Macaca mulatta: one gene and its partner. The protein of the gene in region 1 interacts with the protein of each later gene in a biochemical or structural test. Links are inferred from orthologs where the notes say so. Each region holds a gene or a part of one and is shown on either strand. Other genes may lie near its edges.

What was found. The genes of interacting proteins can lie anywhere in the genome.
Region 2: the proteins of NCL (region 1) and ADAP1 form a complex in vitro, tested with the Homo sapiens proteins (2 studies listed by BioGRID). The link is inferred for Macaca mulatta from reciprocal best matches to the Homo sapiens genes NCL and ADAP1.

The regions. Positions count from the first base shown.
Region 1 is NC_133417.1:136,720,195-136,724,137, reverse strand, and holds the start of NCL (nucleolin), read left to right. Parts: upstream 1-1,139; 5' UTR 1,140-1,280; coding exon 1,281-1,298; exon of another isoform or gene 1,299-1,491; intron 1,492-2,154; coding exon 2,155-2,271; intron 2,272-3,462; coding exon 3,463-3,943. UniProt on the Homo sapiens protein: Nucleolin is the major nucleolar protein of growing eukaryotic cells. It is found associated with intranucleolar chromatin and pre-ribosomal particles. It induces chromatin decondensation by binding to histone H1.
Region 2 is NC_133408.1:34,898,376-34,902,518, reverse strand, and holds the start of ADAP1 (arf-GAP with dual PH domain-containing protein 1), read left to right. Parts: upstream 1-1,343; 5' UTR 1,344-1,545; coding exon 1,546-1,627; intron 1,628-4,143. UniProt on the Homo sapiens protein: GTPase-activating protein for the ADP ribosylation factor family. Binds phosphatidylinositol 3,4,5-trisphosphate (PtdInsP3) and inositol 1,3,4,5-tetrakisphosphate (InsP4). Regulates the incorporation of CD63 and CD9 into multivesicular bodies.

The DNA of each region.
Region 1 (3,943 bases):
AAGTGCTGGGACTGCGGGCCTGAGCCACCGCGCCCCGCCTGAGGTGATTTTTAACAAGTACCGCCGTAGCTGCAGGTATCCTGGTTCTGTAGGAACAATGAGGTATGGATGGATCCATACCTGGACCCATGGATTGGATGGATCCCAGGCAGGCCCTGGACGGAGGGAAATGCTCTGGTTTGCTAAGCCCGGCATCGAGGGAGGCCCACCCTCAAAGCTAACCGTGGAAGTCACTCCGGCCTCCTTCGCCCTGCCGCCGGGGAACCCTGCCGGTGGCTCTCGACCTGCTCCCGAGCCATCTGGTGACACTGACTTAGCAGCCACCACCTTAATTGGCGCATTCGACGCAAATAACAACCAGGGAACCTGTGGGCGGTCAAAGGCCCGGCTTTGCGGTCGGCCCGCCCAGGCCCCTCTCCTTGCCCTGTGAGGCCAGAAAGTTACTTCTCCGAGGCCGTTCCCCATGACGAGAAATATCTCCCGCCTGAGGTTCTGTGGGGTAGGGGAGGTTCGTGCATTTCTCACAGAAAAACCTCGCACAGACCCGCGACTGCCTTTAACGGCTCTCAGAAGACTGCCTGCAGCCGGGGGTGTCTCCAGTCCCATGCTCGCGGGCAAGCAGGGCTGAGCTGTGCCTCCGAAAGGGCCAACGGGAACTCCGCGGTCCCTGAACTTCCGGGGCTGGCGGGCTTCTTTCTCCAGGGCCACCGGGAGCGCCGGCGTGAGTGCGTGCCGGGGCCGCGCGCGGGGTCTTTGAGGAACTCCAAGGCTGCCCGAGCCTAGGGAGCCAGCCACATTGGAGATCCCTAGACCGCCCGATTCCACCACCCCCGAAGTCCCCTCACAGCCGGCGCCAAAAACGCCAGTCCCACGGCGCAGGCCGGGACCCGCGCGCCCACGGCCCAATCAGCGCCGGCCTTGCACAAAGCGAGCCCCGCCCCGACGGCACGGCTGCCAGCCCCTCCCCCTCCCGTGGCCGCCTCGGCCCGCCCACTCCCCGCCCCGCGCCGTTCTCGGTTAGAGGCTCGCGATTGGCTCAGGGGGACTGCCGCGAGCTCTGGTTGGTCGGCACGGAGTCACGAGGGCGCCGTCGTCGCCTTTCCACAGGCGATTACTGGGCAGGCTCAGTCTTTCGCCTCAGTCTCGAGCTCTCGCTGGCCTTCGAGTGTACGTGCTCCGGGATCTTCAGCACCCGCGGCCGCCATCGCCGTCGCTTGCCTTCCTCTGGACTCATCTGCGCCACTTCTCCGCTCCACACTCCGCCGCCATAAGCCGCCATCATGGTGAAGCTCGCGAAGGTAAACGGCCTTGAGCGCGAGCGCAGACGTCTAGGCCTGCTCTCCGAGGGGCGAGCGCGGCGGCGCGGGGAGGAGGGCCTGCGCGCAGTCCCGGGCGCGTTCTAGGGCGCCATGCTGCGGGAAGTCTCGCGCGATTAGTGGGGAGGTCTCGCGGCTTCTGGCTAGTTGGTGGCGAGGTGAAGAGCTTCTGCAGGTGCTGGGGGCGGCGAACGCGGCGGGAAAGACGGAGTCACTGAGCGCGGGGAGGGGGCGCTGGGCCCCGGGGTGGGGAGATGAGACCAAACTCCTGCGACGCATACGAGTCGGGACCCGACTCCTGACGCACGTGCCCGGGAGCGCGGCCTGCCACGTGGGCCGCGCCGCGTAGGTCCTGGAATCTCCAGAGGCACCGGTGCCTTGCGCCAGGAAATGGCGGTATCGGCCCTAGTCGGAGTCCTGGCCTGGCAAGCCGACACGTGGTGGGCCCCGGAAGGTGGCTCTGCCGCGTGCCTTTTGCGCCGTGTTTCGGGCACGTGGTGGCCTACCAGGTACCCCCACGTGGCCGCGCCGCCTCTTTAAGGGGCGGGGTTGTCTTGCTGGGAAAAGCATAATGTTCATGAGAAAACCAAGGTAGTTACTTCTTACCTTCGGGCGGGTTTTCTGTTTGTGAAGCCCGGGAGGAAAATTGTGGGCGGTTGAGAGTAGTCCATCTTGCATTGCCATCAGGACTCGTTTTGATGTTGTGCTGTTTGGCACTATGAGAAATGGATCTGAGAAAGGAGAGATGATGGCGTTTTACTATGAACAGTAATGGCAAAATATGAATGGCCTGAAATGTTGAGGTGGAGGTGTAATGACCTACTTGTGTCCATTTTAGGCAGGTAAAAATCAAGGTGACCCCAAGAAAATGGCTCCTCCTCCAAAGGAGGTAGAAGAAGATAGTGAAGATGAAGAAATGTCAGAAGATGAAGAAGATGATAGCAGTGGAGAAGAGGTAATTTTATCTAGCTTAATGCAGAATTGTGTTAAAACTACAACAATGGAGAGTTAAGACATGAAATTGGATGTCTGTGGCTAAAATAAGATTTTATTCATCCAGGTATGTCCTATTGTAGTGGTGGTTTCACAAGCTCTTCACTGACATGTCAAGGTGTCATTTGGCTAAGTATTTGAATGTGAGTTTGAGACAAGAGGTCTGGGGATCTCCTTTCCATGTGCCTCTGCAGGGCAAGGAGTGTGATTTGTTGTGTTAAATCATTAAATTTTTCCAGTTTCAACATGTTAGCCTCACCCCGACATGTAGAGCTGGGCATTGTATTCAGATCTGAGGATAACCTTCCCAGATTCCTTTCCTAGCCTCCAATTAAGATTAATTGGTCTCCATTCCATTATATATAAACTTTGTAATTCTACTCACTGCGTTATAGTTATCTTTGGTGTAGACTGAGGGCTGCCACCTCTTTGTGTTAACATTGACCCTCTTTACTCTTTGGCAGTCTTGGCCTTTTATTTGCTCACTGTAAAGACATCTGAGCACTGAATTGTGCTCAGGTTTTTCGTTGAGAATTGAATAAAAGTTTTATTCTTCCACACATTGCCTAATAAAACTATGGGATTTTCATGTAGCTAAACGATGGCTTTTATCAAACTAACATGCTCACTCTTTGATGTGTGATAGTTTTGTAAGGGATAGTTAGGTTTAGCCTATTTGATCTTCATTTTATCTCAGGTCCCAAGAATTGAGCTTCACTGGACTCAGTACTGCCATCCACCATAGGAGCCCCAAATGATTTAATACGTTAATGCTTGGAGCCTCCTAGGTGTAAGGTTCTGAATAATTTACGCATAGCACTTCATTATTGTTATACGTGTAATATGATACTATTACCATTTTCAGATGAGAAAGTTGGGGTTTGGGAAAATATGAGGTGCAAGAATTCAGAGGTCTGGTTCAGAGGTATTTTAAGTGTTCAAAAGGGTTCCTTATGGCTGGGTATTCACCTGATAATAAGGGCTCTGACCTAAGACAACATAACAGAAGCCTGGAGTTTAACATGCTAACATGTGTCTAGCGCATGTGGTCTTGAACCAGAAGCATTGGCAGAATCTAACACTCACTGGGACCATGGTTATCTTTTTGGGTGTGGGGCTGGACTTACTGGTTTGGTTTTCATTTATTCTCAAGGTTGTCATACCTCAGAAGAAAGGCAAGAAGGCTGCTGCAACCTCAGCAAAGAAGGTGGTAGTTTCCCCAACAAAAAAGGTTGCAGTTGCCACACCAGCCAAGAAAGCAGCTGTCACTCCAGGCAAAAAGGCAGCAGCAACACCTGCCAAGAAGACAGTTACACCAGCCAAAGCAGTTGCCACACCTGGCAAGAAGGGAGCCACACCAGGCAAAGCATTGGTAGCAACCCCTGGTAAGAAGGGTGCTGCCATCCCAGCCAAGGGGGCAAAGAATGGTAAGAATGCCAAGAAGGAAGACAGTGATGAAGAGGAGGAGGATGACAGTGAGGAAGATGATGAGGATGATGAGGACGAAGATGAGGATGAAGATGAAATTGAACCAGCAGTGATGAAAGCAGCAGCTGCTGCCCCTGCCTCAGAGGATGAGGATGATGAGGATGATGAAGATGATGAGGATGAGGATGATGACGATGAGGAAGATG
Region 2 (4,143 bases), on another chromosome or scaffold:
TAGGATTATAGGCATGAGCCACCACACCCAGCCGAACTTTTGAGTAGAATACAACCATTCAAAAAGAAAGAGTCTGGGCACAGTGCTCACGCCTGTAATCCCAGGACTTTGGGAGGCTGAGACAGGAGGATCACTTGAACCCAGGACTTCAAGACCAGCCTGGCAACATAGGAAGATCCCCATCTCTACAAAAAAAAAAAAAAAATTTTTTTTTTAGAGACAGGGTCTCCCCTCTCTTCCCCAGGCTGGAGTGCAGTGACACCATCATAGCTCACTGCAGCCTCAGCTTCTGGGCTCAAGTGATCCTCCTGCCTCCGCCTCCTGAGTAACTGGGACTCCAGGCCCCCACCGTCACACCTGGCTAAATTTTGTATTTGTAGAGATGGGGTCTTGCCATGTTGCGCAGGTTGGTCTCAAACTGCTGAGCTCAAGCGATCCACCAGCCCTGGCCTCCCAAAGTGCTGAGATTACAGCCCTTAGCCAAAACCCTGTCTCCATAAATGATTAAATAAATGAAAGGCCACAGGCCTCAGACCGTTCATTCTGGAAGGTGCTGAGGAATTGTTTGTTAATAGTGGTTGCCTGGAAGGCAGCGGGGGGAGGCTTTCCTTTTTCAGTCTGGTATGTTCTAGTTTTTTTTCAGCCGGGCGTACTGCACTAACAATATAAGAAGAAAATGGAAAGAATTTGAAAAGACGCTGGGGTGTGCAGAGGAAGGGCACCCAAGTCTGGGGAAGGCGACATCAAACCCAGGCTTTTTGTTACCTGTCAGCCCCCATGTGAAGTCCCCGCCGGGCCCCTCAGCCAGCCTGAGTGGGAGGAGTGCTCAGAGGGTCCCCTCTGTGGGTGGTGGGCAGCTGGGTGGGTCTCAGGGGGAGGCTCCCTCTGGGGCCTCTGCGGCCTCAGTGCCCTGGGATGCTGGCGTTTGTCACTTGCTGGCCACCCCTCCCAGGCAGGGATGGTGTGAGCGCCCTGGTCCCTAGCGCAGAACACACACGCCTGCCTTGCATGAGCACCCCCGTGCCCATGGTCTTGGGGGGCTCGGCAGGTGCCCTCTGCACCCCCCACAGTAGGTGTGCAGGTTCCGTCCCAGCGCGCGTGGCGGCACGAGGGTCCCATCCAGTCCGGCCAGGTTTTGGGGCGGCCTCTCGCCCAGGCAGGTGGGATGCTGCGCGCGGATGAGGGGCGGGCAGCGGGCTACTTCCCGGTGGGTCCCCGGGGCGCGCGGGCTGGGGGCGCCGGAGCGGCCGAGGGAGGAGGCCACACGCTCGCCTGCACCGCTGGGGGCCGCCCGCGGGCCTTGCCGGCCAGAGCGCAGCGTGCGCCCCGGGCCCCGCGCCGGCACTCGCTCAGCGACCGCGGCGGAGACACGAGCGGCGGCTGCGGAGCCCTGAGGGCGGCGGGAATGCGGAACCGGCGCGCGGGCTGAGGCCGCCCGGCATGGCGCAGGGGCGGCGGCGGCGGGCGGCCTGCGCGGGGCCCTAGCGAGCCGGCGGACGCTCCCGGCCCCGGCCCCGGCATCGGCATCGCGGGCGCATCGCGGCCATGGCCAAGGAGCGGCGCAGGGCGGTCCTGGAGCTGCTGCAGCGGCCGGGGAACGCGCGCTGCGCGGACTGCGGCGCCCCGGGTAGGTGTGGGCCGGGTGGGCGCGGGGCCGGGTGGGTCCCGGGTGGGCGCGGGGTGCCGGGTGGGTCCTGGGTGGGCCCCAGGGACTGGGCGGGGGACCGCGGACGCCGCGGGGGTGGCGGTGCTGAACACCCGGCCGGCGCTCGGATGGGGCCCGGGCCCGGCTGCACCTGCGGGACCCGGACGTCTCCCCGGGCCGGGCGGAGCGGGAGGCGCCCCCAGGACCCCCGGAAATCCCCCTGCCGCCGCCTCCCCTCCCCCTCCGGGCTGCGTGTCTGACGGTCACCGCGGACCGCCCGCCGCGTTGCGAAAGCTCGGGCTCCGCACAGAAAGAGGAAATCGGGGCTGGCTGCAGGGAGGGAACGGGCCGCCGGCTGGAGGGCTCTGCTGGACTGTGGGGTCCCCCGGCTCCGGGGCCACCTCGCGGTGACGTCATGCCTCACTCCCTCCCCACACCGGGGGTCCCTGGGTGTGAGCGGCGCCCCTCCCGCGGCTCCCTGCACCTGGCTGCTCCGGGGCGGGTGCCAGGACAGGTGAGGCCTGGAAGAGGTGGGGCCGGACGCAGGTCCTCGTCCACCTGCCGCCCGCCCGTTCGTTCTCCCGGCCGGGCATCCCTGACTCGGTTCCTAGGTCTGTGGGATTTCAAGGCACAGGAGTCCAAAGGCGCGGAGTCCCTCCCTTCCAGGCCACTGGTCCTGCCATTGGCTGTGAACGGGGCCCAGTGCCCAGACCAGCCCTGCCCTGCTTCGGAGCTGTCAGCCCCAGGCCGGCTGCGCTGTGGGGAGAGGGCCCTGCCAGGGCAGTCCTGCCACCCCAGGCACACCAGGAATCTGGGGGCCAATAGCCTGAGCCCCTTGGAACAAACCTAAACTCACCAAGGATGGCTGAGGTCCCCAGGGAGAGAGCGGGGGAAGACCCTGCATTTGCCCCCAAGGCCCTGGTTCAGCATGCAGTCTCTGGACACCCCGGAAATAGGATCTGATTCTCTCTGGGATGGAGGGGTCTCTGCCAGCCCCAGGTCGTGGTGGCTGCTGTCCAGCCACAGTTTGGCCCGAGAGTCCACACCAGGAGCTGGGGTGTCCCAGAGGGGAGATAGTGACAGGCTTTTCTGGAAAGACAGGCAGGACCCACGGCCTTTCCGTGGTCTCCTGAGGCAGGGCGGCTGCAGGGCCAGTGCAATGGTGTGGTGGGGGCGGCCCCCTGGGCTGGCTCGCACGAGAATCTCTGACCCCAGATCTTTATTTCCTCCTGTTCAGGAATGCTCCCCTGGAGAGTCAGTGGGAAAGGGCCTGGCCTGGGGTTGCTATGGCCCACGGGGAGGGGAGCTGGGCTTGTCTCTGAACCTCTGATTCCTGGCCACACAGCCTGGGAGCAGCTTCTCTGGACTCAGAGCCCCTCTCCAGCTGCCCTCTGGGCCTCCCAGCCTGGCAGGAGGAAGAAAGAGGGCACTTCCCTGGCCTGCTGGGCCCTTCAGTGGCCCTCCCCTCCCAGTGGGTGCAGGTGTGCCTGGCCCACCACAGAGCTGTTCTCGGCCCTCCCCCTGCCCGGTGCTGCTGGGCACAGGGCCGCACCTGTGCCTTCTCAGAATTGGTCCATGACCTCAGTGACTCGCCTCCTCTGTCGGGTAGCGCCATGGAGCGGGGATGCTGTGAGGGGTTGTTCTCATTTCACAGCCAGGGAGACTGATGCCTTGCAAACTGGAGCTGGGGATATGGGTCACACCCGGCCGCTGTGCTTGTCCCCGCTTCCCAGGGCTGTGGCCACAGGGTGGAACAGGAGGTGTCAGGAGACGGGGGGCTGCCCGGACCCCATGACCCCATGGCACACCCTTGAGGGCGCTATGCTGCTTTGCTGATGCGGCTGCTCTGGGATCTCCTGTTCCTGCTGTGGCCCAGCTGGGTGACAAGGAGCCACTCCAGTATTGATGGGGACTGGGGTGACCAGCACGTTCTGCTTTCCTCAGAACACTGTCCTGTGCACTGGCTCTCGGCTGGTGCAGACCCGGTCAGCAGGACATCAGACAGTCCCAGGCCACCTCTGAACGCCAGGCCTGTGGGTGCTGGGGTAGACTTGAGCAGGCCCCACCTACTGGCCATGTGAGGGAAGCCACATGGTCTGGGGGTCTCTGAGGCCTCCACAGAAGCTCCTTCCAAACTCTCATGATCTGTCCCACTAGTGGGTTCCCCTGACCTTGAACAGGTCCTCACCCAGCGGCCACCCAGAGAGCCTCTCCTCACAGGCCTGGCAGGTGGGCGAGTTGGGGCGTGCTTGGACCCACTGTCCTGCAAGACCTGGGTGGGGGTCTCCATCCTGGGTGGGGCTTGGGGGAGGGAGGAGGTGCCTCTGTGCATCCTTGGCACTGCCTGCCTAATTGCAACAGAGGACAGGAATCAGGCGTGGTGGCTCACGCCTGTAATCCCAACACTGGGAGGCTGAGGCGGGAGGATCGCTTGAGGCCAGGAGTTGGAAGCTGCAGTGATACACTCCATCCTAGGCCAGAGTGAGACCCTGTCTCAA